Struthio camelus: one gene and its partner. The main gene of each other region encodes a partner of the protein of the gene in region 2 in a complex. Links are inferred from orthologs where the notes say so. Each region holds a gene or a part of one and is shown on either strand. Other genes may lie near its edges. The genes, in order: HCRT and HCRTR2.

Region 1 (14,851 bases), on a different chromosome or scaffold from region 2:
CCAGGTTTTTCTTGACAGCTAAAGTGCGATAAGAGAAGCAGGCCTGGAAGAGCTGCCCAAAGGTTGGCACTGCCCATGGGAAGCTCCGTGCGCTCCGTGGCCGCTCTCCTGTTGCCAACAAGCTGCATCCGCACTGAGGACCGCAGTGCAGCTGCCTGGGATCCAGGGCGTTTTGGTGCCCGCAGGAGGGCAGGGAGTTGCACACAGAGCCCCTGCCTGGGAGGCATCGGGCAAAACCAGGGGCTCCCTCGGGCCCTTACACGGTTGATTTTCATCTCGCCGCGGTCCCTCCGGGCAAACTGGCTGCTGAGCCGGTGCAGCACCGTCCGGCCCTGCCTCTGTGCCGCCCGCAGGTGCGAGCTCCCAGACTTCTTGCTCCGTTGCTTCTCTGGAGTGGGCGAGAAAGGCTCAGTGAGTGGGAAAGCTGCCCGGCCACCGGCGGGACCCCTCGGCACGCAGGGTGGCTCAGCCGAGTTCTGCAGGCTCCAGCAGCTGGGGCAGCTCTGTCCCCTTGCTCCCGTCCCGTTCCAGGACACAGCGGCTCCTGGGAGCTGCCATGGTGCAACAGAGCAAAGGCCATTTTGGGGATGCTGCCTGTGCTACCAGGAGCACAGGCTGGGCACACAACGCTGGGCAGGATCCAGCTGGGAACCAAGAACCCCTTTGCCAAGCGCCCACTGTGCATACCGCTCCCGAATGCCAACCCCATCCCATGGTCATGGCTCACCCTCCTTCTTGTCACCCAGGTGGCTCTTGCCCCGGGTCTCTGTGATGTCCTTGAAGGAGAAGAGGAAGAGCACCACCTCCCCCTTCTCGTTCTTGATGGGCATAATGTCCAGCAGGCACCAGAAAGCAGCTCCTGCATGGAGGAGAGGAGCGGTGAGGGCAGGACAGGCCCTCTGCTGCTCTCCGTGCCGGCAGGTTCACCCCGAGCCCAGGACGGGCAGCACCCCGGGGCGCCAGCGCCGCATCCCGCAGGGCCCAGCCCCGCGTGCCACTCACCCCCCTTCTTGTAGAAGCAGACCTCGGTCTGGTACTCCTGCTTGCCGTCCAGCACCTTCTCGATGCGCTGCAGGACGGGCTCGCTGGTCTCTGCCCCGCAGAGGAAGCGGCAGCTGCAGTTCTTCTGCATGACCTCCGTGCGGGCGAAGCCGGTGAGGTCGCAGAAGCCGTCGGAGCAGTAGACGATGGGGAAGCCGCGGAGGACCTGCGCGTTGGCCAGGATGAAATTGCTGTCTGAAAGGAGAGAGACACGGCTGCTGCAGCAGGCAGGGGGCCACCCTGGGAGGCATGAACTACCGCTGCACTGTGCCGGAAGGGGACCAGGTATTCATCTCACTGTCATCTGCTCCCCTCTGCAGACCCTGCTCTCCTCCTGCAGCGGCAAAGTGCCCAGGCCTCTGGCTCCCTGCACCACTCCCCAGGCCACACATGGAGTCCCACCTCCACCGGCCTTGCCCCGCAGTTCCCAGGACCATCCAGCCCACCAAGGGCTGGCAGAGTCAGGCAGAAATGTGCACCATCACGTGAACCAGGGCCCATCTCCAGCCCAAGCTGGGGGGCCCCCGGGACAGGCTCCTGGGGTGGTCCTTCCACTCTGGCACCCCAGAGGCCCCAGCCCCGCTGTGCTGGAAGGGGAAGGAGCCCAGATATAGCTCCTGGCTCCCATCGTCACAGAGACGCGATCCCAAGCGACGCGATTCACGCCTCCCCCTCGCCATCTGCTGCTCCCACCTTCCCGCTGGGGCTACAGCGGCTTAGCAGGAACAGCAGCAAACCCGGCCAGGAGCTGCTGGTGGGGACATGGCCAGGCTGCAGCGCTGGGGCCCCCAGGGGGCCACCCTGGCTGAGAGGGAGAGAGAAAAGCCCCCAGCCCCACTGCGAATGCTTGGGCTGAATCAGGCAGTCCACGCTGAGCCAGGCAAAGGAGATGTGCAGGGGAAACACCATCTCTGCCCTGTCCCAGCACCGCCAGCACTCGTGGCTCCCCCAGCAATACTCCCACCCCAGCAGCCAGGTGGCTCGGGGCAGACGAAAGCCCTTGCCACCCCCCAAGCTCCTGCGGCTATTTTGGCACCACATCCCACCCAGCCGCTGCCAAGGCCATTGCTGGCCGGGCAGAGCAGGGCCCGGAGCAGCACCTAGCGCAGGCGCTGCGCCAGTGGGGACAGATGGCCTCGTGCAAAAGCGACACCAAGGAGCCAGCGCGCGCAGCAGCTGGGCTCACGGCATCCGTGTTCCCACCCGCCAGGGGCCCCTCCACCCCACATGCCAGGCACTGGCAGCAGGAAACACGCTGGCTGCCCGGTTTCACAGCGAAGGAGAGGGAGGCCAGCCGCAGATGACGGCACCCACAGAGAGGCAGCGAAGCCGTGCCGGGACCGCAGCGGCCTGGGCAAGGGCAGAAGGGGCTGTGGAAGGGGTGCCAGCCACACACAGCCTGGGGTGGGGGGGGGCTGCGCCAGGGCCACCGCAGCACAGCTCAACCCCGGATTAGCTCAGAGAAACAAAAATAGCTTGAGGCTGTGACTAAGGCCAGATTTTGGCTCTGATGAGCCAGGATTACTGCGTTGTCCGGGGTGTGTTATTAGAAAGGGAAAAAAGGACTCGCCTTTAGGAGCAGCTCAGCCATGAGAAGGGGAATGTGGCCGTGTCGGAGGCTCAGCGGCCCCCTGCACAGTGACCGGCCTGCCTGGACAAGTGACCTGAGGCCAAGCAGGGAGCAGCTGCGCGGGACAGCCAGGGTTAACTCGCATCATGTATCACTGCAGCTAAAGCCCCTCTCCATGGCAGATAAAGCCGATAACAAACACATCAAACCCGCAAAGCTGGACACTATTTAAAAGTGCCTGGAAGGCGGGTTTGAGCAATTGAAGGCAGGATGCTGTCAGCCAGCTTCATTCCCAGGCATCCCCAGGGCAGATTCCTGAGGCCTTTCTCCTACTCTTCCCAGGCAGCTCCCCTGGGAAGAAAGAGCTGCTGCATCTGAAAGCCCCGATCCAGGTCTCCAGGGCCCCAGGGCCGGGAAAGGGGGATGCTGTCCTTGCTGCCCACAGAGGGCTGCCAGCAGCTCAGAGCTGAGGGGAGCTCCTGGTGCCTTTGGAAGCTGCTTGTCTCTGAGCCGGGGCTGGCTGAGGGGGCTCATTGCTTTGTTATGCATGACGAATCTCGAGGGTAACACCCCCAAGGACAGCTTCTATGGACAAATGACATCCTGTGCCAGCAGGATGGGTCTGGGGGGCCCCTGCTCCAGGTGATCTTGGGGAGGCCTGGGGTCAGGACTGAGCAGGACCTGTCCCTGAGTGGCTGCCAGCAGCTGGCACATGGCACCGCTGCACAATCCCTTCTCCAACGTGCCAGGGCCTTAATCCATCCTAGCACTGGCACATGGACACAGGGAGGAGCCCAGTTCCCAGGGACACTCCAGCACCTCCAACTGTGGAAAGAGGCTGCAAAATAGTCAGCAAGGACAACAGCCGTGCTCCGAGCCCCGGCTCTCAGTATTCACCTCTTCCAGGGACACAACTCCAGGCAAACGAGAGGCTTTTCTAACTAGGCCCTAGAGGTGGGCAGGGCCCCGCACGGCACCTGAGCACCAGGAGGTGAAGCCCGTGGGGACCCCAGGCAGAGGTGCCCGTGGAGAGCTGGCCTGTGCAAGCAAGGGGAGTTTCTCCGGTGCAGAGGTCCCGGTGAAGCCCGGTGCGATGCTCCCCACACCCCTCTGTGCACCGCGGAGGCGACGGGCACACGCGGCTCCCGACGGCTGCACCGGCGGCTCACGGCGCTGGGGATGGAGCCGAGCCCTTTCCCTCGCCCCAGCTGGCTGAAGCCCCGGCCCGGAGGTTGCCCCGGGCCCCCCGTGCGCCGCGGCCGGGGCTCGGCCCCCCGGACCCCCCGGGCCCCCCGGACGGACCCTGCCGCGGCGCCGGGGCCTCCCGGCTGGCCGGGAACTGTCCGTGGTGCTGAGCGGCCCCGACGGCGGCGGGAGCGGCAGCGCGGCCAGTCCGCCCTGGAGCGGGGTCTGCGCGGGGCCCCGGGCCCACGGCGGGGTGCTGAGCCCCCTGGGGGGAAAGGGAGGCCCCGGGGTACCGAGCGCCCTAGGCTGCACGGGGGTCTGCGCGGGGTGCCCAGGTCACCGAGCACGCCCGGGCTGCGCAGAGGGTCCCGGGGGTGTCGACCCCCCTGGGCTGCACGGGAGGGTCCCCTAGCTGCAGAGGTCGCCTGGGGGAAAGGGGGTGTCCGAGCCCACCCAGAGAACACGGATGTTCCCGGGTCACCCAGTCTGGCAGGGCTGCACGGGGTGGGGGGGGTCCCGGGGTGCCGAGCCCGGCTGGGTCTCACGGGGGTCCCCGAATTACTGAACTCGGCCAGGGCCGCCGGGGGGTCCCGGGCCGGCGGGGACGGGATGGAGAGCGTGGAGGGTCGTGTCCCGCCTAGCCCTTGGGGGGGGAGTCCCCGCCCCGGGGCGACCCCCCAACCTCCCCACCGCTTCCCGGGGGCACCGCCCCCCCCTCCCCGGACCCCCCGCCGCAGCGGGCCCTGCCCGGGAGGCGCAGACCTACGTGTGCCATCGAAGCGGGTGGCAATGGTGTCCAGGAAGGTGTTCTGCGGGGCCAGCAAGCCCTTCATCACCGGCATGGTCCCGCCGGGCCCGCCCGCCGCCCCCGGGCCCTCCGCAGGTGCCACCGGCTAATCCCGGCTCGGCTCGGCTCGGCCCGGCCCGGCCCGCCCGGGGCCCCCGCTCCGCCCCCCGCCCCGCCCCGCCGGCACCGGGAGGGGCCTCGGCTCCGGCAGCCACCGGCCCCGCGGCACCGGCAGGCACCGGGGGGCACCAGCCCTTGGAAAGCCAAAGCGGGGGGGTCCACCGAGGCTGGGGAAGGGGCAGGATCGGCCCGTTCGGGGGCATCTGCCCAGTCCCAGCCCACGGTGGGGTCCCACTGCAGGAACGGGGGCGCGGAGCTGGTGGAGGGTCCCGGCACCCTGCAGAGCCCCGTTCCCCCACTGCCCTGTCTTGCAGTAGGCCAGGGAGGCACGAGGCAGCTGGGAGTGGGACCCCGCCCTGGGCTAGGACCCGCAGCCAGCCCGCAGCCCCCCAGGCCAGCCGTTGCACCCAGGAGAGGGGCTTGGGAGCGCTGCTCTGCAGAAAGCTGGCCCAGTGGTCACAATGCAAGGCCATGCCCTGGGAGATGCCCCTGACGGGGACAAAGGGGTGACAGGACCCAGCTAGGGCTCTGCTGGGGGTGGAAGGGTCACCGTGGGGGGTGGAGATGGGGGTCCCGTGGCCTGCAGGGGGTCGCTGGAGGCTCCCTGGTGCTGCAGTGGGGGAGATGCTCTGAGCCCCCCAGGGCCCTGCTTAGCCCCAAAGTCCCTGTGGCCGGTGGCTGCCCTGCCCTGGCAGCCCTCACGTCCCCCAGCACCGAGCTACTCCCCTTGCTGCAGCCCAGGTGCAGAGAGCCACAGCGGTCCCTGCCAGGGGGTCCCCGATTTCCTGGGAGAGGCTTCGTAAACACCCCTGCACCCAGACACCCTGCCTGAGGCTCGGTTCTCCCCAGGTCCGGTCCTGCACCCAGCCAGCCGAGCCCAGGCACACCTGCAGCATCTCCCCAGCTCACGCTCCCCGCGATGGCGCGGTTGAGCCCCACAGCCCCTGCTGCCCCGCAGCAATCCCTGCTGTGCCAGGGAGCCTCTGGCCCCCTGGGCTCCTGCCGACTCATTCTCCCTTCACCACCACCCCCCACCCCCGGAAAAAGGGGCCAGAGCTGGAAACGTGCAGACACAGCAGCATCAATCCGTGTCCTGGCACAGCGGGTGAAGGTACCAGCCTCGCTGGCTGCCCTGGCACAGACCCTGGCAGAGCCCTGAGCCCCGCAGGCCCCATCCCCAGAGACAAGGCAAAGCTGCGTAACGTCAGGCTACCATTTATTGTAAAAGGCCAGCGGCGCCCACAGTGCCCTGAGCAGGCTTGGCCAGGGCCACAAGGAGGTATTTGAAAGTACTATTTACATCAGGCTCCACAGTTTGAGTCCCCAGGGTCTGTCGCCCTGCCGGGATCCCCCCTCTACTCCCAGCTTTCCCCCCCAACCATCTCAGTAAAAGCTCTTTGCAGCCCCCTGGGCCTGGCCCTTGGTCGGGTCCTTCCCCAACTGTCCCTGGCACTCCCCGGGGCCAGCAGGGCTGGTGTCAGAGCGGCTCAGGGCCGGCGTTGGCGGGACGTCTGTGCCCGAGGGGCAGCCCGACGCGTCGTGGCAGGCGGCACCGGGGCGCTCCCCTCGCTTGCCCATGGTGAGGATGCCTGCGGCATGGTTGCCAGAGCTGTGCAGCAGGCGGTAGAGCCGGCTCTGGAAGGCCGGTGGGACGCTCTTCCTCTTGCCCAGCGTGAGGATGCCGGCGGCGTGATTGCCCATGCCGTGCAGGAGGTCGTAGATGCGGCAGGAGCAGGTCTTCTGCCGGCAGCACTCGGGCACGTTCTGCCGGGCAGCGGCCAGGGAGCAGAGCAGGAGCAGGAGCAAGAGGCAAGCAGCTCTCTGGAGCTACCGGAGCAACGGGCTGGTGTTAGGGCAGGGGCAGCCGGAGGGGCTGGGGCAGCAGGCCCATGCGTGGCCACCCCGCTTTTCCAGAGTGGCCAGCCAGACGGCCAGCACCCAGCCGGGCTCGGCTCCCACCTGCCCGGTCGCTGCCCGCACGACCACGCTGCTGGGGTGTCCCAGCTCCAATGGGCAGAGCCACTGCTGCATGGGGACAGGGCTGTCCCCAGCTTGGGCTGCAGCAAGGGAACACAGCAGGAGGGGACAAGGCTCACAGCTGGTCCTGGCTTCCCATCCCTGCCACCTCGCTGCTCTGGGAAAAGCTCTCCCGAGAATAGCCCTGGAGCATCACCCTTCAGTGCCCGGTGGTACGGGCAGCCCTGCACCCTCCAGGGATGGGGGAACCTGTGAGTCCTGCTCCACACTCCCCGTCCAGCCCCGCAGACCAAGGCCCCGCTCACGCTCCGACCATGTTTCCTTCCCGCCGCAGGAACAAGCTGCAGGTATCCTCGCTGTCGCGCACATCCTGCTCTGGCGCAAGGCAGCAAACACCCTCCCTCACTGCAGATCACCGTGGGACGTGCAGCGAGAGCCCCCGTGCCCTGCCCCTGCCGTAGCACACTGCAGCGTGCACTGTGCACCCCGCTCCCTGCCCAGCAGGCTGCAGCCCCAGCCCATGCGGGGCCGAGTCCCGGTTCCCAGCCCGCACTGCCGCCTCCCCAGCATCACTTCTCTCCCAGCTCTCCCACGCCGCCCGTGTCCCCAGTTTGCCTCCACTCCGACGGGCTGCTTGTCCCTGGCCCCACCTTGGTGTTCGGTGTCTCCATCGTCCCCGGGTGTCTTCAGGTGGCCGAGCGGCGCTGGGGCATGACCCACCAGGAGCCGAGGAGCAGAAGCCGCCCTGAGCAGCTCACCTTGGCCACCGGGCTTTATAGGGGGCTGTCCCCCACCCATCCCCAGCCCTCGCGGGGCCCTGCACAATAGTGCTGCCAAAAATACCCCGGGAAGCGGAGGGGCTGGCGGGAGCCGGGCCGGTCTCCCAGAGACGCGCACTCTTTGTTCCCGGTAGCCCGGAGACCGGCCAGGCCTTTCCCCTCATTTGCAGCTCCCCATTGTGCGGGGCCGGCGCAGGGCGGGCGGCCGGGCGCGGGACGCCAGCGGCTGCGGAGCCTGGCACTAATGAGGCTGTAATTGCCTAAGGGAGCCGCAGCCGGGCTGGCACAAAGCGGCCGGAAGGTCAGCGCCGGGAGGACGCAGCGGGTCCTCTCCCGACTGCCTGGCCCCAGACAACGGCAGCTCGCCGGCTCGTTCCTCGTGGCCCCATTAGGCTAATTACTGCTCCAGAACAAAGGGGAGATGGGGGCTGTGCAGCTCTGTGATGGAGCTGGCACGGCCCCACGGTGCCCATCCCCAGCGCCGGCAGCACCACGCTCCCCCCTCTTCATCAGCCCCACGCCTGCCCTTGCCCCCCAGCCGGGCACGGAGACGGAGCAGCAGGGCACCAGCGTGGGTCTTGCACACTTTATAACCGTGCCACAGCCCTGGCCCGACCCCAGACCGCCCCTCGCTCGTGGCCTGTGCCTGGGATGCTCTCGCCCCAGAGAAGTCCAGGATGTTTTCCCTGATGCCAAAAGCCACATCTGCTCCCGCCTGGGGCCCCCGGCTGCCCCAGCCCCCTGCGAGCTGCGCCAGGGAGCCTGGCCAGCCCCTCTGCACCGCAGGGCCCTGGGGACTCCAGCGAGGGGACGGCTCCAGCCAGGCAGGTTTTCCCAGGGCTGGCAAAGGCAAAACCTGCAGACCTGAGCCCAGAGATGGGGCTGTTTGTCCAGCGGGCACAGCAGGCTCGAGGGGTACATGCACACGGCCATCGGGGTGCCAGCACGCCCAGCCGGCCCCGCGGCCGGGCGCTCGCGCTGGAAGCGGATGCAGGAGGAGCTCGGTGGGGCTAGGGGAGATGGGAGCAGGGAGGTCCTTCCCCAAACGCCCTGCTCTGTGCCCAGAGCTGGTCCCCAAGAGCCTTCACCGCTGCACTGGCCCCGCTGCAGCCCTTCAGCTGCCCGTGGGCAAGGCAGCGCCCTGCCCTGCGTCTCCCTCCAGATGCACCAAACGCCGGCGGGCAGGCCAGTGCCCCCAGCCCGGGGCACAGGGGCGATGCCGTGCCACGGGAGCGCTCAGTCCGGGCCCCGGTGCCCCGCGCCGGGGTCAGCAGCACGCTGCGTCACCGCCTCCTTCCGTCTCGGGGATGGGCTCCAGCGGGGTCCGCAGCCGGGAGGGGTCCGGCGAGGCCGCGCCGTTCCTGCCGATGCCGCAGGACTGCCCCGCGTTGTGGATCTGCCACAGGTTGTCCAGCGCCTCCGCCTTGGCGTGCTTGAGCAGGTCCGCCTGGCCCTGCCGCCGAGCAGAGAGGGGCGTCAGGGGGCTCTGCGCCCGGCCCCAGGGGCTGCACCGGGCTGGTTTTGCCACCCGCACGCCCGGCCGTGCCGCGCTGCTGCAGCCCACCGGCCAGGCTGTGGCACTGCGGGAAGGGGCCCCCCCAGCTGCCCCCTTCACTGCAGGCAAAGGCAGGGGGCACCGGGAACGGCTCCGGCTCTGCGTGGCCCAGACCTGCCCGGCAGTGCTGCACGGAGACCCCCGCGTGGAGCAGGGCCTGCCCCCGGCCGGGGCGCGTTCCCACGCCGTGGCTGGCCCCGCTGGCAGGGCCACGGTCCCACCAGGGGGGAGCACGGGCTGCCGGGACGCGGGCGCATCCCGGACCGCCAACACGGGATGGCGAGAACCAGACCGCTGCATCTGCGGAGGGCACCCAGGGCGCTGCGGCCAGGGTGCGTGAGCCGGACCGCACACCCCAGCATGGAGCCTGGGAAAGCAGGGTACGGAGGCGAGGCCGATGGGCCGGTTCGCAGCCTGCTCATGCAGCCTCCCGGGACGCTTTGGCCCATGCTGCCTGGGGCTTTGGGCAGGCTGGGTCAGGAGTCCCCGGAGGGCAGCGTCCCCCAGCAGCACCCCTAAACACCCGCAGCAGGGAGCAGCGCAGACCCCTGGGGCTCCCCGCTGGCGGCCATGCAAAGGCAGCGGTGAGGGACGCGGGAGAAAGCAAAACGCCTGCCCGCCGCATCCCAAGCCCCGAGGCGCCGGCAGGACCCGGGAGGGCCCCACACCATCGCCTGCTGCCTCGGCACCATTGCTGCTCCCCAGGAAGCCTGCAAGATGCGCTCGGCTGCCCCGGGGCACCCCTCGGCCCCGACCGAGCCCGCGGCCCCGGGGGGTGCACCCGCACCGTGGCAGGATGCAGCCCTCGCCCCGCTCACCTTCAGCACGGTGATGTTCCAGGCGAAGCTCTCCAGCGCCTTCTGCAGCTTCCTGCCCCGCAGCCCCTCCTTGGCCTCGATGCGGTGCAGCTCCTTGTGGAAGTCCATGCCTGGGGCGCGGGGCACAGCGAGAGCACTGCTCAGCCGGGCAGGCCAGGGCAGCTCCCTACCCCAGCACCGAGGGAGCAGGCTGGGCTCCCCGCTCCGCCGCCGGCTCCTCCGGGCCCCCAGCGCGCGGGGAGCGACGGGGCGCCCGGCTCTGCGCCACGCTCAGCCCCAAACCTTGGCGCGAGCCCTGGGAAAAGGGCTGGAGCCGAGGGTCCACCCGGAGGGCAGCGATTGCCCCCGGCACAGGCACAGTCCTTGCACACCCTGGCCCCGCGGGGGTGGCAGCGCGGGCCCGCCGGCCCCCCCGGGCGGGAGCAGGGACCCCCGCGCCGCGCACCGCGTGACGTCCCCGTGAGCGGGTGCTATATTTACCCCTCCCTGACGAAGCACCGGCTCCGGGGCCCACGCAAGGGCTCCCACGCCAGCCCGCTCGCCCGCGCGCCGTCAATCAGCACGCCCCCGCCCCCCCGGCGCCGCAGGCAGCAGCCGACCCCCGGGGTGCAAGGGCCGGGCCGAACCCTGCGCGACCGCCTCAAGGTGCAGCTCGGCCGCCCCCGGGCCAGTCCGGTGGGGCGATGCCCCCTCCGAGCTGCTCTTCCCCCGGCAGCACGGCACAGACGGGCTCTCGCAGCCCTTCCCGCGGAGTGGCGGACCAGGGTGCAGAGCCCCCCCCGGCTCAGGCCCCCGCCACCGGCTGCCCCAGCCCCCCGGGGCCGTAGCCGCCTTGCTCGCACTGCCCCACGCGCTGGCAGCGGCCGCGGAGCCGCCAGCCAAGCGCTCGGGGAGATTTCCAGGCTGCCGCGCAGCCAGAACAAGCAGGGCTGCTGGCAGCAGGGCTGGCAGCGGGTCGGGGCCCCCCTTCCTCCCCAGGGCGCCCCGGCAGCCCCCGGTGCAGTGGGCAGCGGGCACGGGTGCACAGTGCTGCCGCGGGGCCGGGGCGCCGGCGGCGCGGGGCAGGCTGCCAGCGGCACCTGCCCGCGGGGGTCCAGCCACGTGTCGCAGAAGTCACAACACTCAGTTGCCGCTTCTACCGTCAGCCCCAGCCTGTTATTTCTGATGCTAATTATATTCTGGCGTTTGGCAGCTAATGACTCCCCTCCGCTTCCTCGGCAGCCTCCTCCGCACTCCTCCCTTCCCTCCCGGCGCTTCCTGCGCTGCCCGCCTTCCCCAGCCGCCCGCCCCGGGGGTCCCGCCGCCCCGTGCCCTGCTGCAGCGCCGGGCGGCTCGGCGCCCTCGCTCCGGCCCCGGGGCCGGCCTGCCCCCTGCCCCTCGCGGCGCTGCCCAGGACGTGGGAACACCGCAGAGCCGGGCTCCGGGCCGCGCCAGCCGGGACGGTCGCCGGGGAGCTGCTCCGCCGGCGCCTTGCAGCCCCGATGCCGTGCGCCGCCTCGAACCCTCTGCGCACAGGCGGGCGCGCGGACACACGCGTCCCCGCTCCTCCCGTCCACCTGCACCGCCAAAATCCCAACAGGCGGCGGTGCCAGGCTGCTGAGCTCATCCCCGCGGGGACACGCGTCCAGGCCAGGCCGGGCTCAGCAGCACGACGTCCCCCACGCCCGGCACCACGGGGGCACCCGCCGCAGGACCCGGGGTGCACGGCGGCCCCGGCGCCCCGGGGACCGTGGGCAGGTGCAGCAGAGCTGTGCAGGGGGCTGCGCCGGCCCTTCCCGGGGACCCACCTGCCTGCTGCGCCTGGATGAGCTTGCCATACACGGCGTCGGCGGACTCGATCAGCGTCCGGCTCGTCTGGATCATCTGGGGGAGAGGAGCGGGGCGGCGTGAGCAGCGCCGCGGCCCCGCACGCTGGTGGGGGGGTGCTCGGCCGGCTCTGCACCCCCTGCCCCGGCCCTCCCGCGCCCCAGCCAGGTGCAGGCGGCCAGCGCCTGGCCGGCGGCCAGGTCTCCCTCCAACACAAAGGAAGGAAGCAGCTCCGGCTTCGGCTATTAATGGGATTTCTCCCGCCAGGCGGGACCGCAGGATGCCCCCCGGCCCGGCGCCGGCGCAGGGGCTGGGGCAGCCCGCGCAGGGGGATGGGGTCCGCGCTGCCGAGCGAACGCCCCGGGCAGGGATGGAGCGGCGGGGAGCCTGCACCAAGTCGGGTCCCTCGGGGGCACCCGCCGCTGCAGCCCCCCAGCCCAACCCCTCCGCCCCGGGATGGATGCCAGCCCCAGCGCGCCCAGCTCCGGGTGAGCGCAGCGAGGCAGGGTGGTGGCCTGGGTGCGCCCCCCCACCGCGCTCCCCTGCGAGGGGCAGAGCCCCGGGCCCCCGGCAGGACGGCCCTTACCGTCTCGTAGGCGGTGAGGACCTTGCGCAGCAGGTCGGGGATGGGGCCCTGGGCCTCCATGGGGGGGTACTGCTCCGCCAGGTTGAGGGTGACGCTGGGCGCGCTGTCGCTGTGCAGCAGCCACGCCGCCACCGTGATGATGCACTGCTTCATGTTGGCGGCGGGCGTCAGGCCGCACAGCTCCTTGAAGGAGACCAGCGCGTTCTGCGGGCAGAGACCGGCGTCAGGGGCCCGGTCCGGGGAGGGGGCCGCCGACCCCTCGCTCCCTCCCCTGCCTGCTGGGAACGGCCCCGTCTCCCCTAGCTTGCTGCTCCAGATGAGGCTTCTCATCCGCCCCCTCCGGAGCCGGGATCAGGAGGGACACCTGGGTGCTCCCGATTCCTCGCCGTCCAGCCCCATCCTGCCCCAGAGGAACCCACGTCCCGGCTCCCCGCGGGTGCCACCGCTGGGTCTGGTACCTGCACGTTCTCCCGCAGGTCGGTGGCCTCCCGCAGCGGCTGTGTGGCTGTCCGGAAGACCTCGTCGATGGCCTTAATGCCGGTGGCCTTGGTGGAGGTGTACTCCCGCACGCGGCGGCCGCGGCGCCCCGAGAGCCCCCGGCGGTGCCCCTTGCCCCCGCCGCGGCGGTCCGTGATGGCCACGTGCACGAAGAGGGTGGCGTGGGGCAGGGGCTCCCCGGTCAGGGACTGGAGCGGGACGTGGCGGTACCCGGGCTGCAGGCACTCGAAGGGGATGGTGTACTGGGCGATGAACTCGTCGCCGATGTAGTCATCGTCCAGCACCACGAAGCGCAGCACGGCCAGCTCCGGCAGGTTGATCTGGAACTCCAGGCTCTCGTCGAAGACCGGGTTGTCCCCGCTCTGCAGGGCCGTCTTGGTGCGGTGCTCGGCGCAGTCGGCCGGGATGCCGTGGATCTCGGCGCACACGTACGGCTCCACCACCTCCCCCTTGGCCCCCGAGCCCTTGGGCTTGGGCAGGTTCTGCCCGCTGATGACCTTGAGGTGCAGGAGCTGGGCAGGCACCCCCGGCAAGGAGTCCTTGGCGTTGGCACTGAAGTAGGACACCTCTTCCCGCATGATGGCGGGACGGAGGACGTAGCCGCAGGCTCCGTTCTGCCGGAACCAGCCCGCGTTCAGGTCCATCATGAGCCCCGGCGTCTGGTAGTTCATGGCCACCATCTGGCAGCCGCATTTCCAGAAGTCCTGCGGGTTCATGTTGCTGGCGTCGATGCGCATGGGGCTGGGGTAGACGCGGGAGAGGAACCGCTTGTTGTAGCTCACCAGCTCCGCAGGGCACTCGTTGGCGAAGCGCCCGGCCTCCACCTCGCTGAAGGAGCACATCTCCCAGTAGCGCTGCCCCCGCCGCGAGCTCTCGAAGTCCTGGAAGGGGACGGCCTGGCAGAGGCTCACCAGCTCCGAGAGCTCCCGGCTGAGGCGCACCCGGCGCAGGGCACCTCCCTCCGGCATCTCCCGGTCCTCCTGGCCCAGGCGCCGCGCCAGCTCCCAGCCTTCCTCCTCATCCGACACCTCGCCCTCGCTGTCCTCACAGCCGGGCGGCAGCTTCTTGCCCTTGATGAGGATGCGGCCCTTGAGGTGCTCCGGGGAAGGCAGGTAGGACTCGGCGGGGTTGGGGGGCTCCACGTACAGCTTGTCGCCCAGCGTCTTGCGCAGGCACTGGGCGGCGAGGCGCTGCTGGGTGGCCGAGCAGCGCACCACGAGGCAGAGGATGAGGGGGTAGGCGGAGGCGGCGAAGGCGTGCTGGTCGATCAGCCCCACCACGGTGCGGAAGGGCACGCAGGAGGCGGCCGAGGGGCTGGTGTAGACGACGGGCTCGCCGTCGGGACCGTCCCACAGCACCAGCTCGATGCTGCGGCAGCCCAGGCCCAGGGCGCTGATATAGCCGCTGATGTCCGAGCTGCCCCAGAAGTTGTCCTCCAGGAGGCAGGCGCTGTGGGCAGAGCTGATGTAGTAGTGGGAGAGGGGCTGTGCCATGTCCTGGCACACCTTGCGGTGCTGCGGGTCGAAGATGGAGCAGTCGGAGGAGAGCAGGTAGCGCGTGAAGCCGTCGATGGCCAGGTAGCCCTTCTCCCGGCCCTCCTTGGAGGGCTCGTACTTGCCGACGATCTCCAAGCACTTCTCCTCCGTCACCCCCTCCATGCCCTGCTCCACCTCCAGGAACATCAGCAGGTCCTTCAGGCCCAGGTACTCCTTGTTGCTGGAGAACTGCACCAGCAGGAAGAAGATCTCGGGCCGGGTGCAGAGCTCACAGTAGGCCTCCACAAAGAGGTCGCAGGCCACGTCCATGCCCACACGGTCGCTGGCTTTCTGCAGCTCCTTGAACTTCAGCTCGATGGTAGAGGCCTTCATGCCTGGGTTCAGGGCTTTGATGAGCTGCACAGCCCGCGACACAGGGATGCGGCCAGACTTCTCCAGGTCAGCGAGGTCAAAGACGGAGGAGATCCAGGAGGTCCGAAGGCTGGGGTGGCCGGTCCCAGGCGCCTCGGGTGTGTGCTTGCCATAGGACACCAGGTACCGGAGCCCCATCACCCATGCACTCACCACGTCGGCTGAGCTGGCCACCAGGTCTAGGGACTCGTAGTTGTCTCCATAGATGATGGAGAAAGCGCA
Region 2 (15,657 bases):
TAAAAGAGGTAAAGATACGAAGGTATCCAAGAGGTTCAAGGTGATGGGACAAATATTAGAAAAAAAATGGTTGTTTCACTATTTCACTGTTGCACTGTTCAGTTTTTCAATGAAAAGAGTCTGGCCCTGTCTTCTCTGCACCCTCCAATCAGATATTTATACACACTGAAAAGATCCCCCCTGAGCCTTCTCTTTTCCAGGCTAAACAGGCCCGGCTCTCGCAGCCTTTCTTCGTAGGAGAGATGCTCCAGTGCCTTCAACACCTTTGCTGCTTTTCGCTGGACTCCCTCCAGTACATCCATGTCTCTTGTACTGGGAGCTCAGAACTGGACACAGTACTCCAGATGTGGCCTCATCAGGGCTGAATAGAGGAGGAGGAACACCTCCCTTGACCTGCTGGCAACCCTCTTCCTAATGCAGCCCAGGATACCATGGGCTTTCTTTGCTACAGGGTCACGTTGCTAACATATTCAATTTATTTTCCACCAGGACCCCTAGGTCCTTCTTTGCAGAGCTGCTTTCCAGCAAGCCGGCCCCCAGTCTCTATGAATGCATGGGGTTATTCCTTCCCAGGGGCAGGATTCAGCACTTCCCTTTACCAAGCTCCATGAGGTCAGCATCTGTCGTAAAAGGAGAGGTGAGAGAGCTGGAACTGTTCAGCTTGAAGAGGGGAAGGCTCCAGGAGGATCTTATCAGCATTTATAAATATCTGAAAGGAACATATAAAAGGACGATGGAGCCAGACATTTTTCAGTGTGGCCCGGTGACAGGACAAGAGGCAATGAGCACAAGCTGAAATACAAGAAGATTCACCTGCACATATGGAAGAACTTCTTTCCTGTGAGGGTGACTGAGCACTGGAGCAGGTTGCTCGGAGAGGTTGTGGAGTCTCCTTCCCTGGAGATAATCAAAAGCTGTCTGGGCACAATCCTGGGTGACCCTGCTTGAGCAGAGGGGTTGGACTAGATGATCTCCAGAGGTTTCTTCCAACCTCAACCATTCTATGACTCTGTGATCTGTTGGTTACCTGTTAGCTGTGCTCTCATGTATTTTATTTCTTACAATACATGAACAATCAAAATAAATAAAATTATCCAGCAGCAGGTTTAAAGATAACAAAGCAGGAACATTGTAACAAACCATGGAAATCATTGCTTCTAGTTACTTTGAAAGCCAAAAGTTTGGAGGGGTTCAAAAAACAGTCAAACAACATTATCAGAAGAAAAATCCACAAAGACCTATTCACCATACCAATAACAAAGCTGTGAACTTGGTGACTGCACAAAGATGGGAAACTGTAATGATGGAAAATATCACTGCAAACTTGTCTTACCTTCACGTTGTTCTCTAAACATCTATTCCTGGCCACTGTCAGAGATGTAACAGAGATTAAAGGGATCTTTGACCTCATCCTGTATAGTCTGCTTTTATGTGGTACTAGAGAACAAAGTAAGAAATAGTCTGATGAAAACATAAGCAAAATCCAGTATTTTGGGTCTGATCTAATGTCAGTGTGGTCCAGTAGGTCAGTGAACCTGAATGCAGAAGATACAGATCATACCCTTGTCTCTGTCATTTATCCTCTGTATGACTGGAAGTGATATGTCACTTAAAACAGTCCTTGTGACTGTTTTGCTTCCCACTCTTGATTTTCCTTCTCTGCTTCACGTGTATGTTCTGCAGAATAGAGATTGCCCCTTGCCACATGTTTTAAAGACCCAGAGCTCTAATCTCCATTATTTTCTATAAATAAAACCTTTTTTTTCTAGAGCACTAGATGTGCTAAGTTCATCTGAATGGCACTGATTTCCCTTAAAAAAACAAATCCTTTATCAAAAAGCTCTATGATCCTTCCTTCTAGGTACTCCTCAAAATACTCTAGAATATTAAAGTGTCCATCTTGTCTCAGGTTGGACCAAGATCCTGCACTACCCCCAAATGGGTCAGGAGTAGACGCTTGGGAAAAGAACGTTGAGAAACAGGTTATACTTGGAATTACACTTTCTCTGTCTTCAGGATTCCTGAGTGCAGTGTTTCATCCAAACTGTTTCATTTACAGCTTCTAATGGACTTAAAATTAAATTTTCCTAATCATTTTTCAGCCATTTGTATATGGCTTCTACAATATCTTGCGGAAATGAGTTCCAATATTTACATAAAAAGAATGAGAAGTATTTCTTTCTTTTTTGCTTATTTAAACTTGCTAACTGATATTTTCATTGAATGTGTCTTGTCTTATGAAAAAGAGTAAAAATCCATCCCTCTTTTGGCTTCTGTATTCAGTTCAGGGACATTCTGTGGAAAGGAGTATTGTAATTTGTTATATCAAGATTACATCTGTGCCTTGACCATTAACGATTTGTTTGCTTTTAAATGTTTGTAGACTTGGTGGACGAGTGCATATTGCAAATAGAATTGCCATTTTTTTCTGAACAGCTCTTAGTACTTAGAGGTTAATAAGCAAATGGTCCAGGAAATGGATGGAGAAACAGTGTACTTGCACTGATTTTTGTTTCTTTTTCTTTTTTTTAATAGGAATTGTACCTAGTTGGAAATTGTACCTATAATATGCAGGAAAGGGCACAGGCATTTCCATTGTTGGCTGCACAATAAAATTTTCACCAAGACTCAGATTCTCATATGACTTTTAGATCTTCTGCATTTGCACGACTGTGGAATGTATCATTTTAATTTGTATTACAGCAAAGTAACCTTACTGACATGAATGAAGTTAATTCTAACTTACAGCAGTGTGAATGAGACTAGAATCAGACCTTTTCACTTAAAACACACTGGTGGATCTGCTGATCTTTTCTTCTCTGATCACTGTAGTATTAGAGCACCTCACCCCAGCTGTGCCTCATTTTAATGGGATTAGTGAGCAAATAAATCCATAGAATATAGCTGATATTCTTGATATATTCGTGTAACAGTGCCTTAGCAAGCTCATTGGAATTTTTAAAACAGAATCCTGCTGAACAGGACCCTGTTTTCTGCATATAACGAGAAAAATGCCTAAAGTTGGCTAAACAAGATTAACTGCTGGATGTTTCTTGCATCACCCGTGGTTCCAAAAATTCAATAGCACGTCTGAATAATATCTATCGTGTTAAAACTAGTCTTGTTTTTTAAACTTACAGTTTATTACTAAATTAACACTAAGACAAAAAAGAGCCTAAAGGAAAGGTGGTGCTGCAAGTATGTTGTTTGATGGACCATAGTTATGTTCAGTTATAGCGTTTGCTCATTAGTTCATTCTTTTCTTAAACTATATAGCATTCATTTTCTTTTGTGGCTCCTTCCACCTTACTGACTGGTAGTTATTACCCTTTCCCCATGGAATTTTGTGGCTGTAGAGATTTCCAGATCTGCCTTTTCTATCAGTCTTTCTCTTCTGCTCTTAGCATCTCTCTTCTTAATTAACTTCTTCGCTTCTTCACAGTCTGTTTAGTTGATAATAACCCAACTGCTTTGCAGGAGCTACTTAGCTCTGTTTCCAGGGAAGCAGCAGATCCACCTTGACATGGAGAAAGGAGTCTCCATGACTAAAGGAGAAAAGATACCAGAGGGGCTTCACATCCAAATTTTGGGACATGGCTGAGCAGGATGGCTTCAGCAAATAAACGAGAAGATTGTTTTTCTGCTGAGGCATGGTGTGGCATATTGCATAACAGAGAGAAAGGGGGCAGAGAAAAGCTATTAAATCAGAATAGTCAAAGGAAGATGGGAAAGAAGGGCATATTCACACGATTCATCTGTGCTGCCAACACAGTAGTGTGTTTCTCCCCAGCAGCCGTGCTTGTATGGTTTGCTTCCCAAGAATGGAAGCACTTGCTAAAATGTTCAGCAAAGGTTGAACAGTAACCCTCAAGCTCATCTGCCTTTTCAATCAAAGTCTTCAAAAATTTTAAAAATTGTTCTACTGTGAAAAAAAGGCTCCTCATTTAATATGCTATTGGATTAGTATGGAACTAATCCTCTGAATCAAATAGATTTTAAAATGAAAGGGCTAGTCTCTAACATATGAAGAAATGTGGCCCATTTGTATGATCAGTACAAACGTTAAGTCTGCAACAGAATGATTATTATGGAGAGCTTGATGAAGCAATAAAACTTGGATGTTGAATTAGGGTTGTTTTTTTTTTCTTTTTCTATGAATGCCGGTTCCTTTGAGCTATCAGATGGCATAAAGCACAAATGTGTGTTTGATTTATATTCACATGGTCTAATACCATATAATAAGTGGCATTAAAAGCCCAAGACACATCTTCCAGGACTGATAATTTCATTTCACTGTTTTGGGATTAGCAGTGGAAATTTATGGATTAGAAAATATATTAATGTATGTGAACCTTTTAGCTAAATAAAGTATAAGACATTACTCTACTGAGGTAAAAAGGTTAATAGATATAACCTTGAATTTATCCTTCTTTTAAATGCTGAATAGCCAGTATATTCTTTCTTTCATAAATTTTAAAATCACATGTTAAACAGATTTTGAACTGAAAAACAGTTAACAAAATAAGAGTTATACAGTTTTGAGCATTTACTGTTCACTTACATATACAAGGGACAAATTTAAATTGCATTAGTCTTGGTACAAATATAGTTATAATTATATATATAAATATATATATATATGAGAATGGAATTAAAAGAAAAGATAAATCAGCATTAAAATTCATCAGCTGAATCTCTTTTGCACTTTCACAGATTGGAAAGCCAGAAGGGACTACTGTAATCACCTAGTCTAAGCTCTTGTATATTGCTGGTCATATGACTTTTGTGAATTAATTCCCATTTGAACTAGCTCTTATCTTCCAGAAAGGCATCCAGTCTTGATTTTAAAATGTACAGCTGTAGTAACTCAACTTGATAAGCGTTTCCTCAGTAGTAAATTGTGGTACATGTTGAATACTTTAGCTCGTTAGTCAAGTTTCCCTTATAATGCTGTCTACCTTAATCCACGTTCAAAGGTATACTTATTCATACCATCAGGGATCACATTAACCTTTTTGGCTATGGATTCCTGATGGGAGGTTGTGTTTAGCTGATTCTTCCTGATATTTGTAACATCTGTCAGCTTCGTCAAGGTCATTGAATGTTGAGTGTAGCAGAACCAAGAGTTGACCTGCTTGAGACCAGGAGAAACGCATGGGCTCAGTGATGATTCTTCATGTACCATTTCATTCTGAGACCTGTTAGTTAGCTAGTTTTTAATCTTTATAATGTGTGCCATATTGATTCCTTATTATCCTGTCTCTCTAGTCAGAACATGTTGTACCAATCAAAGCAAATGTCTTACAGCAGTCCAGGAACGACAAATTTATGCAGTTGCCTTTATCAGTCAAACTTGTAATCTTATTGAAAAATAATGAGTTGTAAGACCCATTTTCCATAAAACTATGTTGATTCTTAATATGTATATTTTTTAATTCAGTTCCTTGCTATTGGTGAGGGAGAAGGAAACATTCCTTGACTCCTAGCACTCTATGTTAAAAAAGGCATTACCTGTTGCAGAGTTTATGACAACTTGGAAACAAATATTGAAGTTATGGAACAACATTGTAAAACATGAAACATCTATCACGAGTGTGATATCTGTTACTGACCATGAAATAGTCATGTTCTGTGTCTCTTCACCATTAGTGAAGATCATGACAAGCTCCTTAAATATCTATTTCTGTTGATTACCAGATACATCTGCATTCTTGAATTCTCAGATCACAAATATCTTTCAAAAACTCATAACACAGCTAATAAAATCTTAGATGTTTTCACGTTGTGCAGAGAGTCTAATCTTTATGAAAATCTACCCTTCTAATCTATGTAAGCTAGGTGCTGATCCTACCCTTATATCTGAGGATATCTCAGTCTTTAATGTATTTATCCTAAAAAGTCCTCTCAATTTCCCTGTGGAATAGGAAAGAGATCTTTTCTTTATTTTATGGAGAGGGAACTAAAGCTAGGAGAGCAGATCTATAGAAATAGATAATGGCAACAACAGGTGTGCATATGCTGTGTTGGACTTTGCAGTCAACAGAGCAGGCTGCACGCCTGCAAAGAATGATTAAGTACCGTCTAGAGCTGAACACCAGAGTGCTTCTGAATTTCTGTCTCTCTGTGATGTCTATGTTTTGGAACTAGAGAAGCACAATGGTTCCTTCCTTCTTGTGGAGGTGCAGACCCTCCACATAAATTACTTGATTTAACTGAGCCAGGTGTGGCATTTCACAAAGAAAGTGGTGCTTATACCCTGCTCATTAAATCATTCAGCTAGGAATTACCTGGATAACAAATTATCTGGATAACAGGGTTTGTTTGTCTGTTTATTTGTTTGTTTGCTTTCCAACGAGGAGGGACAAGTCCAGACTTCCCGTCCCTTCACTTTCAGTTCAGTTCCCTTTGACTTTTTGCCCATTGTACACTGGGCAAAATACGAAAACAGTCCAGGAAGCAATGACCAGCAGCCAGGAGTCCTATCACGCTGCTTAAGTAGCGCTTGGCTTCTGGGCTCTGTTCAGTTGCTCTCTGCCAGCTCAGCTCAATTGGGAATAGCTAAATAGTGGGGAGCTGCTCTCCTGAGACCCCCAGCTGGATGGCTGAAACACCCTCAGGGCAGGGTGTTTCTACACACTAGACTGAAGCCCACAACGAGCTCTCCCGATCCTAAAACCCAAGAAAAGCACACGTTTGTCTCTTCAGTGCCCTTCTGGATTTTTCCCCTGGGGTTAATTCATTCCTTTTTGGTCACACACCCAGCAGAACTTTTTAAGGGGCACCCTGAGGAGACAGTCTCGTTAGCCAGGCATTTTTCAGCAGCTGCCCTCAGCCAGCAGCCTGCCCCCGCCGCGCGTGAACTCCTGTCCTTGAGCGCGCAAGCGTCTGGCATTCACGCCCTGTGATGTGCGACGTGTGAAAGCGGGAACAAGAGACGCGGTTGAGGGCGAGCAGCGGGGGGAAACGCACTAGCAAGGGGAACCGGAGCGGGGCAGGGGGGCCCGCGGCAGCCGAGGGCGGGCGTGCGCGCGTGCGGGGAGCGCGCACGGCTGCGGGCAAAGGCAGCGGGGCGCCGTGCGGAGGCGCCGCGGCTTTCCCCGCCGGCGGAGGCAGCGCCCTGCGCTGCGCTCGCTCCCCGCCGCGGCGGCCGCGCGCCCTGCGCGCCCGCGGGGCCTGCGCGGAGCCCGGGCTCGGCCCGCATTGGCTCCCCGCGTTCCCGCGTCATTTTCTGCCCGTCTCCCCAGCGGCCGCCGCCCGCCGGCAGCGGCGCGTCTCGATGGACGGGCTGGCGAGCGCGCTGGAGCGCTGAGCGGCTCTGCTCCGAGCCGGACCGCAACCAGGGATGTCCGGCCCCAGCCTGGAGGATGACTCCCCGCCGCCTTGCAGGAACTGGTCGTCCTCCCCAGAGCTGAATGAAACGCGGGAGGCTCTTTTAACCCCTTCCGCCGACTACGAGGACGAGGAGTTCCTGCGGTACCTCTGGAAGGAGTATTTGCACCCCAAAGAATACGAATGGGCGCTGATCGCGGGCTACATCATCGTGTTCGTCGTGGCGCTCGTCGGGAACGTCCTGGGTGAGTCTCGCTCCCAGAAGTTGCCGTGCAGCCGGCGGGGCGGTTCGCCCGGCGGCTTTTCTCAACGGCTAGAAACCGGGCGAGTTCCTCACCTCCCGCCGCAGCCTCTGGAGGGACAACCGCCTCCGGCAGCCGGGGCAAAAGTTAGGCGGAGGCGGAGAGCCCTCGGCGCCGGACGGTTTGGACGGTTTTCCCGCTAGCCGGCAGCGCCGGGAGGGCTGGGGCAGCGCCGGGGCCGCCGGCCGGCCGCCCCTGTCCGCCGGGCCCAGGTGCTGAACGCCGCCGCCCCCCGGCCCGCGGCGCTCGGGGCCGCCCGGCGGCTGCTGCCCCCGCCCGCCCGGCGGCTGCTGCCCCCGCCCGCCCGGCAGAGCCCCGCGCGAGCGCTGCCCGGAATAAACCCACATATGTTTTCAGGGACAAGCTGGGGGGGGGGGAGAGGGGGAGACGGACTAGCCTCAGCCCGGGGGGCGACGGGGAGGGCGGCTGTGCCACCCTCGGGAGCCCCCGGCCGGCAGAGAGCGCAGCCCGGCACGGCCGGTGCCCCGCGGCCCGGGGAGCGACGACGGCGGCGCCGGCCCCCCCGCGGGGGGGGGGGGGAGGAGGAGGAGGCCGGCGCCCTCCTCGCTCTCATTCAGGGAAGCGAGGGGAGGCGGCGCTTGGCAGCCCGCCTCCCGCTCGCGCCCTCCCCGCTCCCATTCATCCGTGAAGGAGCCGGCGGGCGGGGGGCGCGGCGGCGGCGGTTGGGGAGGGGCGGGCGGCCGTTGAGGCCGCGCGCGCGCAACGACGGGGCGGTTGGGGAAGGGGAGGCGGGCGGCCGTTGCGGGGGGCGGCTTTCCGCACTCAGGGGGGCTGCGCAGGGGCTGCCCCGGGGGAGGCGGCGGGAGGAGGGTCGTTGGCAGCCGGCGAACGAACGTGTGGTTGAAAGGTGCGGGCGGAGAGGAGCGGCCGGCGGGGAGGGGCGGGCTCTGTGCCACGGAGGCGGCGGAGGCTCTGAGCGGGCCGTCGCCGGAGCCCGCTGCCCCCCGCTCGCCCCCCGGCCCCGCGCCCCTCCACGGCCACGGCTGCTCCGAGCGGGCTGAGCTCCCCTTGCGTGAGGCTCCCGCCTCCGACACTCCGGCTATTTTTACCGGACTCTAAGGAAATGTGTTGGTGGCTGTGTCCGTGCGGGCAGCGCACACCGGTACACACACACACAGCCCTGGGGCATCTGCATCCCGACCGGCTGTTTCCTATTACTGCAGACACTTGCATTTTATGTTGCTGATTCTCGCATCAGCTGAGAGTACGTTAGCCCTAATAAATCCTGCATTTATGAATGAACGTGCATGCGGTATGACCGCCAGGGAGCTGGTTACGCCATGAGAATCCACTCCTCCCGGCCATTTGCAATTTTTTTTTTTTTAAATCTACATCATTGATATTTTCATGGAAAGGGTGGCGCACTAACGTACGGAGCCCTGCCTTAAGGGTCTTCCATTCATGTTTTTAAAAAGGATTTATGTATGTCAGGGTTGCTATCTGCAAGCTTTGTGGGCTTCTCTAGCCAAGCTGCGAAGGAGACTGAAGCCAAAGGCAACATTTTGGAAATCTCTTTTTTATTTTAAAGAACCGATACTGCTATTTTCTTTCTGCAGTGGTGTGCTAACTACTGATAAATACCGAATATGCACGCAATCAGTGTGTCTTTAGCGAAAGAGGTTACACTATTCAGAAGCCTGAACACCTGCTTGCACGCTCCATTGCTCGGCAGCGAGCCTGACGGACAGTGCTAATGGCCTTCCTAAGGAAGGTGTACTTAAACTACAAAGAAAACCGTCCTTCGTTCTCATCCTGAGCAAAGACTGTTTTTGGGGGGGATTTTAGGATCTGTCTTTACCTATTTACCACCACCCATTGTGTAAACAGGCGGTCCTCTAGCCTTTAAAAACTCAAGGTCAAATCTTTTCGGCTACAGGAGCTCTCAGCCTGTTTGCACTTCCCCCCCCCCCCCCCGTGAAAGCCACGAGGAGAAACAGTTTTCTCTCTTTGCGCATGCAAACAGAGCCATTATCGTGGCCAATGTGGAAACGTTCCTCCCCGACATTTGTGCACGTTTTCTTTTCGTCGGGGATGGAAGTTGGTGTTTGGCTGTCCACCTCTCCTTTGTGCTGGTCGTGCTGCTGCCTCTGCCAAAGTTGTCTGCCGTTTAAAGGGCCTTCGTGCGTTGCAGGGACCTCACCCACCCAAAGCGCTGTTCCTGTTTACAGGCAAGAAGTTGTTCGTGGGATCTGCAGGTGCAGGTGCTCATTAGCTGAACTCGTCTTTAAGAAATCTCATAATGCACTGACTGCAGGCATTTGGGGAGAGGAACAGATGTGGCCTATGCTCTTTTTCCAAAGAGGTTTTTATGAAACCTTGTTTGTTTATTTGGCGAGTGGCAAAAATACGGTATAAAGCGATACACATTCTGAACTTTCTCAGGGGATAATTTTTCCAATTTGAAAAATCCGTATTCAGGGTTAATCTAGAGTTTACTCATGGACTGCCTTGAACACAAGGCAACAGTGTTTCTAAAGAGAGTTTTAGTGGTTTATAGAGTCATCCTTAGTGATGCAGTGTGTTCCTCTGCTTATGTCTGACCAATGTTGCTGAACTGGTGCAGCATGAGAAGCCAGTGTTGTGGTTCTGCTTCATCCATGTCCTATCTGGATAGCACTTACGAAACCAGGGAAGATTTTTCTCTTCCCTGTATTGATCTGTACAATGATATATCTGCCTCTTATTTTCAATAGCACATTTGCAGGGAATGAGGAAATACGTTGTATCCCCCCAGTAACATCTGTACAGATGGAAGGCACAGCACCTTCCTCAGACATTAGCAATAGCCTGGATTAAAACATTCTGACAGTTAACTAACAGCTAAGGGTAGAATCAGAAGCTTGACCTTTGATTGACATCTACTGGACTTTTGGCTGAGCTACACTGCAGGAATTCTCCCTACTAATAGTAACATATAACAAGGTCTGCATTGCCGCTTTCTATTCAATTAGGAGAATTGCCATGCACTGTCCAAACTGCTGCAAAACCAGCTAAAATGAAAACCATCAGCAAGTCCTTGCATTTGAATGCAAGTCTGATTACTGCTTTCAAGTGCTTCATGTTACTGATTCTCATGTGTGCCCACATTGGCTGCCCACCAGAGATCTCATCTGGAGCCACTGAAAAGAAACATGCCCTTATTGCATAGCTGCATTTTCACTTGCAGTGTAAAACCTCAAGCAATAGCAAATTTTTTTTTCCTGAGAATTACTGGCCGAAGTTTTAAGACGTAGTTACACTAACACTGAAAGAATGTGAACCCTGGGTGATAACATCAGCATGTATCCCTAGAAGCAGAATAGATATTGAGAGTAAGGACTTCCTGTTCTGCACACAAGATCAAAAGATTTTTATGCCACAGCCCAGGAATAGAGCTCTTGCAACTACTTGGCAAGGGTAGTGCAAAGCAGTACTTCTTACCTGGGTACGTATGCTGAGTAAATGTCTATTTCTTCTTTATTTGAAAACATTATTTAAAAATAGAAAACCAGAAAATTAAGGTAGGAAAGGTATTTTTAGGATGCATGGAGGTCTGTCGTCACTGGACTACTACTGGATCATTCCACTTTAACCAGTTGCAGCAGTTAAAAACTGAAATAAGACCATAAGGAATTAATAGTTAATGCCCAAATCCATACATTTAACTCTGTTTACACAGGTAAAGAATGTGAATGGTTCTTGTTTAAGTTATTCATTAGAGTAGGTCAGAAATTTTCTAATTAAATGCTTTCTTTCAGGGAACACTCACTCATTCATCAAAATCAAAACGTACAGCAGAGATCACTTGATTTCGCCAGAGACCCAACACAGAAGAAGGCAGCCTCCTGGTTTCCTGCCAGCTGGCCTGCTGGGATCTCTTGGCAGCCCATCCTGGAGCAGGCAGGAGCTAAGAGTCCTAGGACACACAAACTGCCAGCTCCCAGCTTGACACTCCACAACATTGCTGGCTTCCAAGGCTTGGAGGCCATGCAGCGTGTCAGAGAGAGATCCAAGAGATTTTCTTTACTCACATAATTTGATGATATTTGCTTTTCTTTCCAACTCAGAACCAGATAGGTCTATTGTTTATAATATATTTTATAGTAACTCCTAGCAGCACGTTATGCTGAGGATGTAGAGAACTGAACAGTGGTCCTTTCCTCAGAGAGTTCGCAGTCTGGCTCATAGAGCTCAAGGTGATTTGTTTGTTACTTACTGCAGTTTGATTTTAGGCCTGCTTTCTTCTTGGGTGTAGAAGAAAGGTTTTGTGTAGTTCTAACACCTGAGTTCAAGTTAATGTCTATAAACAGGTAACTGTAATCTCTCGAGTCTTTCTCTAATACGATTTTAAATATATTTGGTGAACTACTGAGGTCTATGTGTACATGCAAGTGTTGGTAGAATAGGATGATTCATGTGTTCTCTTAAATGGTGCCATGATCTTCATGAATCCTATTTGATGGCTGTAAATGAGGCATATTTTATTTCATTGCATTTTGAGGTTTTTTTTTCATTTTGTCCAGAGTATTTGGGGAATCTGGCATTGCAAGGGCTTGAGGTCTGTAATATCAGCATGAGAACCACTTTTATCTCCTAGATTGTGAGTACCTAGGATTGCTTAGTCATATTTAAAAAGATACCACATAGGAAATGATATGGTACTGATATTGTTTCATCTACCTATGATATAGAATATATGAGCTTCATTTATGTAAGAGGTAGGGTTTCAACTGAATTACACTGGTGTTTGTGTAATATCATGAGAATTACTAACAAGAAACAGCCATGCATATCCTTCTGAGATACATCAAGAGCAGAAATGCATTAAAAGATGAAGCTTATTTAAAATTATGCCTATTTCTCTATAAATTTTCATATCCAGATGCTTAAGTCTAGTTCCACTGTATAACCCTTCTGACCAGAGAGTCCAGAGGGGACACAGCTCTATTCTCCATTATCATCCTTTATGCTGAAAGGTTACACCGCGTAGCATGAATAGTGCAGTCTTACTGAATCTGATTCTGAAAAAGGGCAATGCAGGGACTGAGGAGACTAAAGGAAGGTGAGCTCCAAGAGGTCACCTGACAACTTGAACATTAATAAAAATTGTGTTGATTTTTATTTCAGTTCTTCTAAAAGAAATGACAGTTACCTCTGGCTAGAGGCTGCTTTTACAGATGGATGAAAAGGAACGTACTTGAGCAGTTTGATTCTTTGTGTTCTAACACCATTCCAAAAGACACTAGTTCTGCTGTGAACTATTCAGTGACAAAGGAGGAGGACTAGAATTTGGACAAATGGACAAGATCCCAGTCTCAAGGATCAAAAACTATAAAAATGCATTGAAAGAGAAATAAAAATTATATTATTTTCCTAAGACTTCTCATATCCTGTTTAATTCACAATTATCTTTGATTCTGTTGGTCTTACTTCTGGGGCTTGTGTATGTTGGAAACTGAAAATTTAGGACTCCTCTTCCATTCAAGTCTCTTCCTTTCTTCTGTCTATAGAATTGCTGATGAAATATCTCTTATCTGATATATCATAAGCCTCAGACTAAGAGCTGGCTACTTACTCAGCAGCTCCCTCAAAAGAGCTAACTAACACCAGAACATCAGGTGGGGTGGCAAGGGAAAGCACATTAACATGCATTTGGCAGATTAAATAGGAAAAAAATGGCAAACTCTTCAGCCAGTGCACAGCTTCAGTGAGACTGCTAAAAACAGTAGAGTTATGTCTACCAGGAACTGAACAGAGACTATCAGAACTTACGCTTTAGGTGAGTGAAGTACCCTTCAGACAGAGGTGCCTTTGGGGCATTACCAAATGAAATGTAACTGAAGATTGTTGTCACTACTTGATTTCACTCACCATCTTTCCAAAATGGAAAGTTTTGGAATGTGGCTTAGTTTTTCTAAGCAGTGTTTATTTTCTGTGCTGCATGTCAAGTGAAACCTTTTTCTGGATATTTGTTAGCAGCTGATTTACTTGCTTTCAGTGTTGTGCTTGCTCACAAATGGAATTTGTCATAGAACAGCAAGAGAGGGTTGCTCCCCCTGGAAGGCAAGCCAGGAGCTGAGGTAGCCAGGTGGGCAGGGCAGTGCCCTTGCCAGCAAGGGCACAGCCCCACAGTGCCCAAGCAAGGAGAGCAAGGCAAGTCCAGTGAGAGTCACCAAGGTCAGCCAACAGCCCAGCCCAACCAGCTGAGTATGTTAAAACCAGGCAGGTCTGAGGTTAAGCCAAGAAATCAAGTCAGTGGGTCAGCAGCACAATCTGGTTCAGGATGGCTCATGACCGGCCACAGGCGCACTTACAAACAACATGGTCTCTGCCAGAGCTAAAGGCAAGAGCCTAAGCTTAAATGCAGTTCCCAAGCAAATAAGAGACCTCCTCACAGCTGTCACAGCTGTCTCCCAAAGCTCTTTTCCCAGCGGTCTGACCCCAGCTTACCCAGTTGCACCATATTAGAGCTGGCCTCAGGCTTAGGTGGCCAAACCTTGGGCTGGAAGAAGAGGATGCAGGGCTGGGTGGTGCGCTTGGCCCTGGCAAAGCTGTCCTCTGCCTCCTGGTTCTCAGAACAGTAAGACTTCCAATTTTTGGAATATGATGTTAGCAGTGTGGATTTATGATGTAGTTTCAGACATGTTATACTGTGCAAGATATTCATTGTAGCATTCCCATTGCATCGTGAATGGTATTTTCTTTGTATAGTCTAAAGAGAAGGAATTCTTACACCTACATTAGAAATAAACATGGAAGGATTTTTCCTAACTTAAATCCATTTAATGCTGATTGATGGATGCGTTTTGAAGCATAAGGTTTCAAAGTTGCACAGCATTTCAGGCATGAAGCTCACCTTGATTTTAATGAGCCACTCAGATTTTAGTTTGAATCACAGTGAAGTCTGAAATCTTTTCATCGTAGAATCATATGCAGTATAACAGCTATATTTAGGGTCCTTACATCTCTAATGTGAAGTGTATGTAAGGATTTTGTAGGCTTTTTACTGTTACTACAGATAGACAAATAAGTACTTCAAATGCGGTCATGAAATCATTGATCATTCAGCACAGACAGTTCTGCAGAGATGACCAGAAATGTCAACTCATAGTTGTAATAATATGGTGTGTGTGAGTGTGTGCGTGCACACGCGTGTTTCTGTGTATGTACGTGTGTGTGTGTAGGGACAGTTTAAAACTGATCTGTGCTAATCAGTATTGTTAGCTCAAGAAACTGTGTGATGGTACCTCTCAATTCCTCCAGAGATGACCAGAACTGAGATTTTTGGCAAATTGTTTTTATTGAATAGCTGATCTTCTGGTAATAACTCCCATTCCCATTACAGTGTTAATTGCCTAAGATTATGTAATGCGACTAAGTTAGAAAATGAACCCTGTGCCAATTAGATGATTGTGCTATTACTCCCAGTTCTGCTTCATAGAGATTAGCTTCCAGCAAACATAATTTGGTTCTTATGTTCTTCTCTAGCACCATAATAATGAGGAAGTACATACAGTATAAGAGTGGATAGGAGAGCACAGAAGGAACCAATAAACCCCAAGTCACAATTCCTTTTAAAAGTCAGAGTACAACAGAGCACTTGGTAGCTAGAAAGCATGTCAGGAATTACATTGCTGTAAGCAGACTAGTTATTAGGTACCTATTTTTATTTATACAGATTCTCTTTATCTTCTGTGGGAGAAAGTTCCTCATAAGTACATTTCAGTTAGGCTGGCATTCAATAAAATATTTTAAGATTTCATTTGTTCAATATTATTCATCCATATTTCTTACAATTTCAGTATATTTCTAGACTTTTACTAGAAAAAATGAGACTCCCTCTCACATGGACTTTTTTACTTGGGATGCATAAGGGAGCATGATCTAACCATCTACTTCTTTTGTTATACTTTTATGATTTTGCTCAAATCTGTTGATGTGTTTCTAGTGTGTCTTATGAAGAGGAGCTATCACCTCACTGACAGACTATGTGATTCCTTTGTGTATGCAACCAAGGATATTATCC

Evidence for each region.
Region 1: the proteins of HCRTR2 (region 2) and HCRT are in contact, whole or in part, in a cryo-EM structure (PDB 7L1U), measured with the Homo sapiens proteins. The link is inferred for Struthio camelus from reciprocal best matches to the Homo sapiens genes HCRTR2 and HCRT. Residues at the interface, in NP_001371201.1 of Homo sapiens: Thr111, Val114, Trp120, Pro131, Gln134, Thr135, Val138, Gln187, Val209, Cys210, Asp211, Phe227, Thr231, Ile320, Ser321, Asn324, Lys327, Arg328, Phe333, Ala334, Thr336, Arg339, Val342, Tyr343, Phe346, His350, Tyr354; in NP_001515.1 of Homo sapiens: Asn89, His90, Ala91, Ala92, Gly93, Ile94, Leu95, Thr96, Met97.

Annotation. Positions count from the first base shown.
Region 1 is NC_090966.1:7,581,338-7,596,188, forward strand, and holds HCRT (hypocretin neuropeptide precursor), read right to left. Parts: upstream 7,352-14,851; coding exon 7,331-7,351; exon of another isoform or gene 6,531-7,330; coding exon 6,087-6,530; downstream 1-6,086. Other genes in the region: KCNH4 (potassium voltage-gated channel subfamily H member 4), read right to left, coding at 261-388, 728-859, 1,003-1,236, 4,563-4,638; inactive phospholipase C-like protein 2, read right to left, coding at 8,727-8,912, 9,833-9,942, 11,620-11,695, 12,225-12,428, 12,683-14,851. UniProt on the Homo sapiens protein: Neuropeptides that play a significant role in the regulation of food intake and sleep-wakefulness, possibly by coordinating the complex behavioral and physiologic responses of these complementary homeostatic functions.
Region 2 is NC_090944.1:35,193,122-35,208,778, forward strand, and holds the start of HCRTR2 (orexin receptor type 2), read left to right. Parts: upstream 1-7,140; 5' UTR 7,141-7,342; coding exon 7,343-7,574; intron 7,575-15,657. UniProt on the Homo sapiens protein: Nonselective, high-affinity receptor for both orexin-A and orexin-B neuropeptides. Triggers an increase in cytoplasmic Ca(2+) levels in response to orexin-A binding.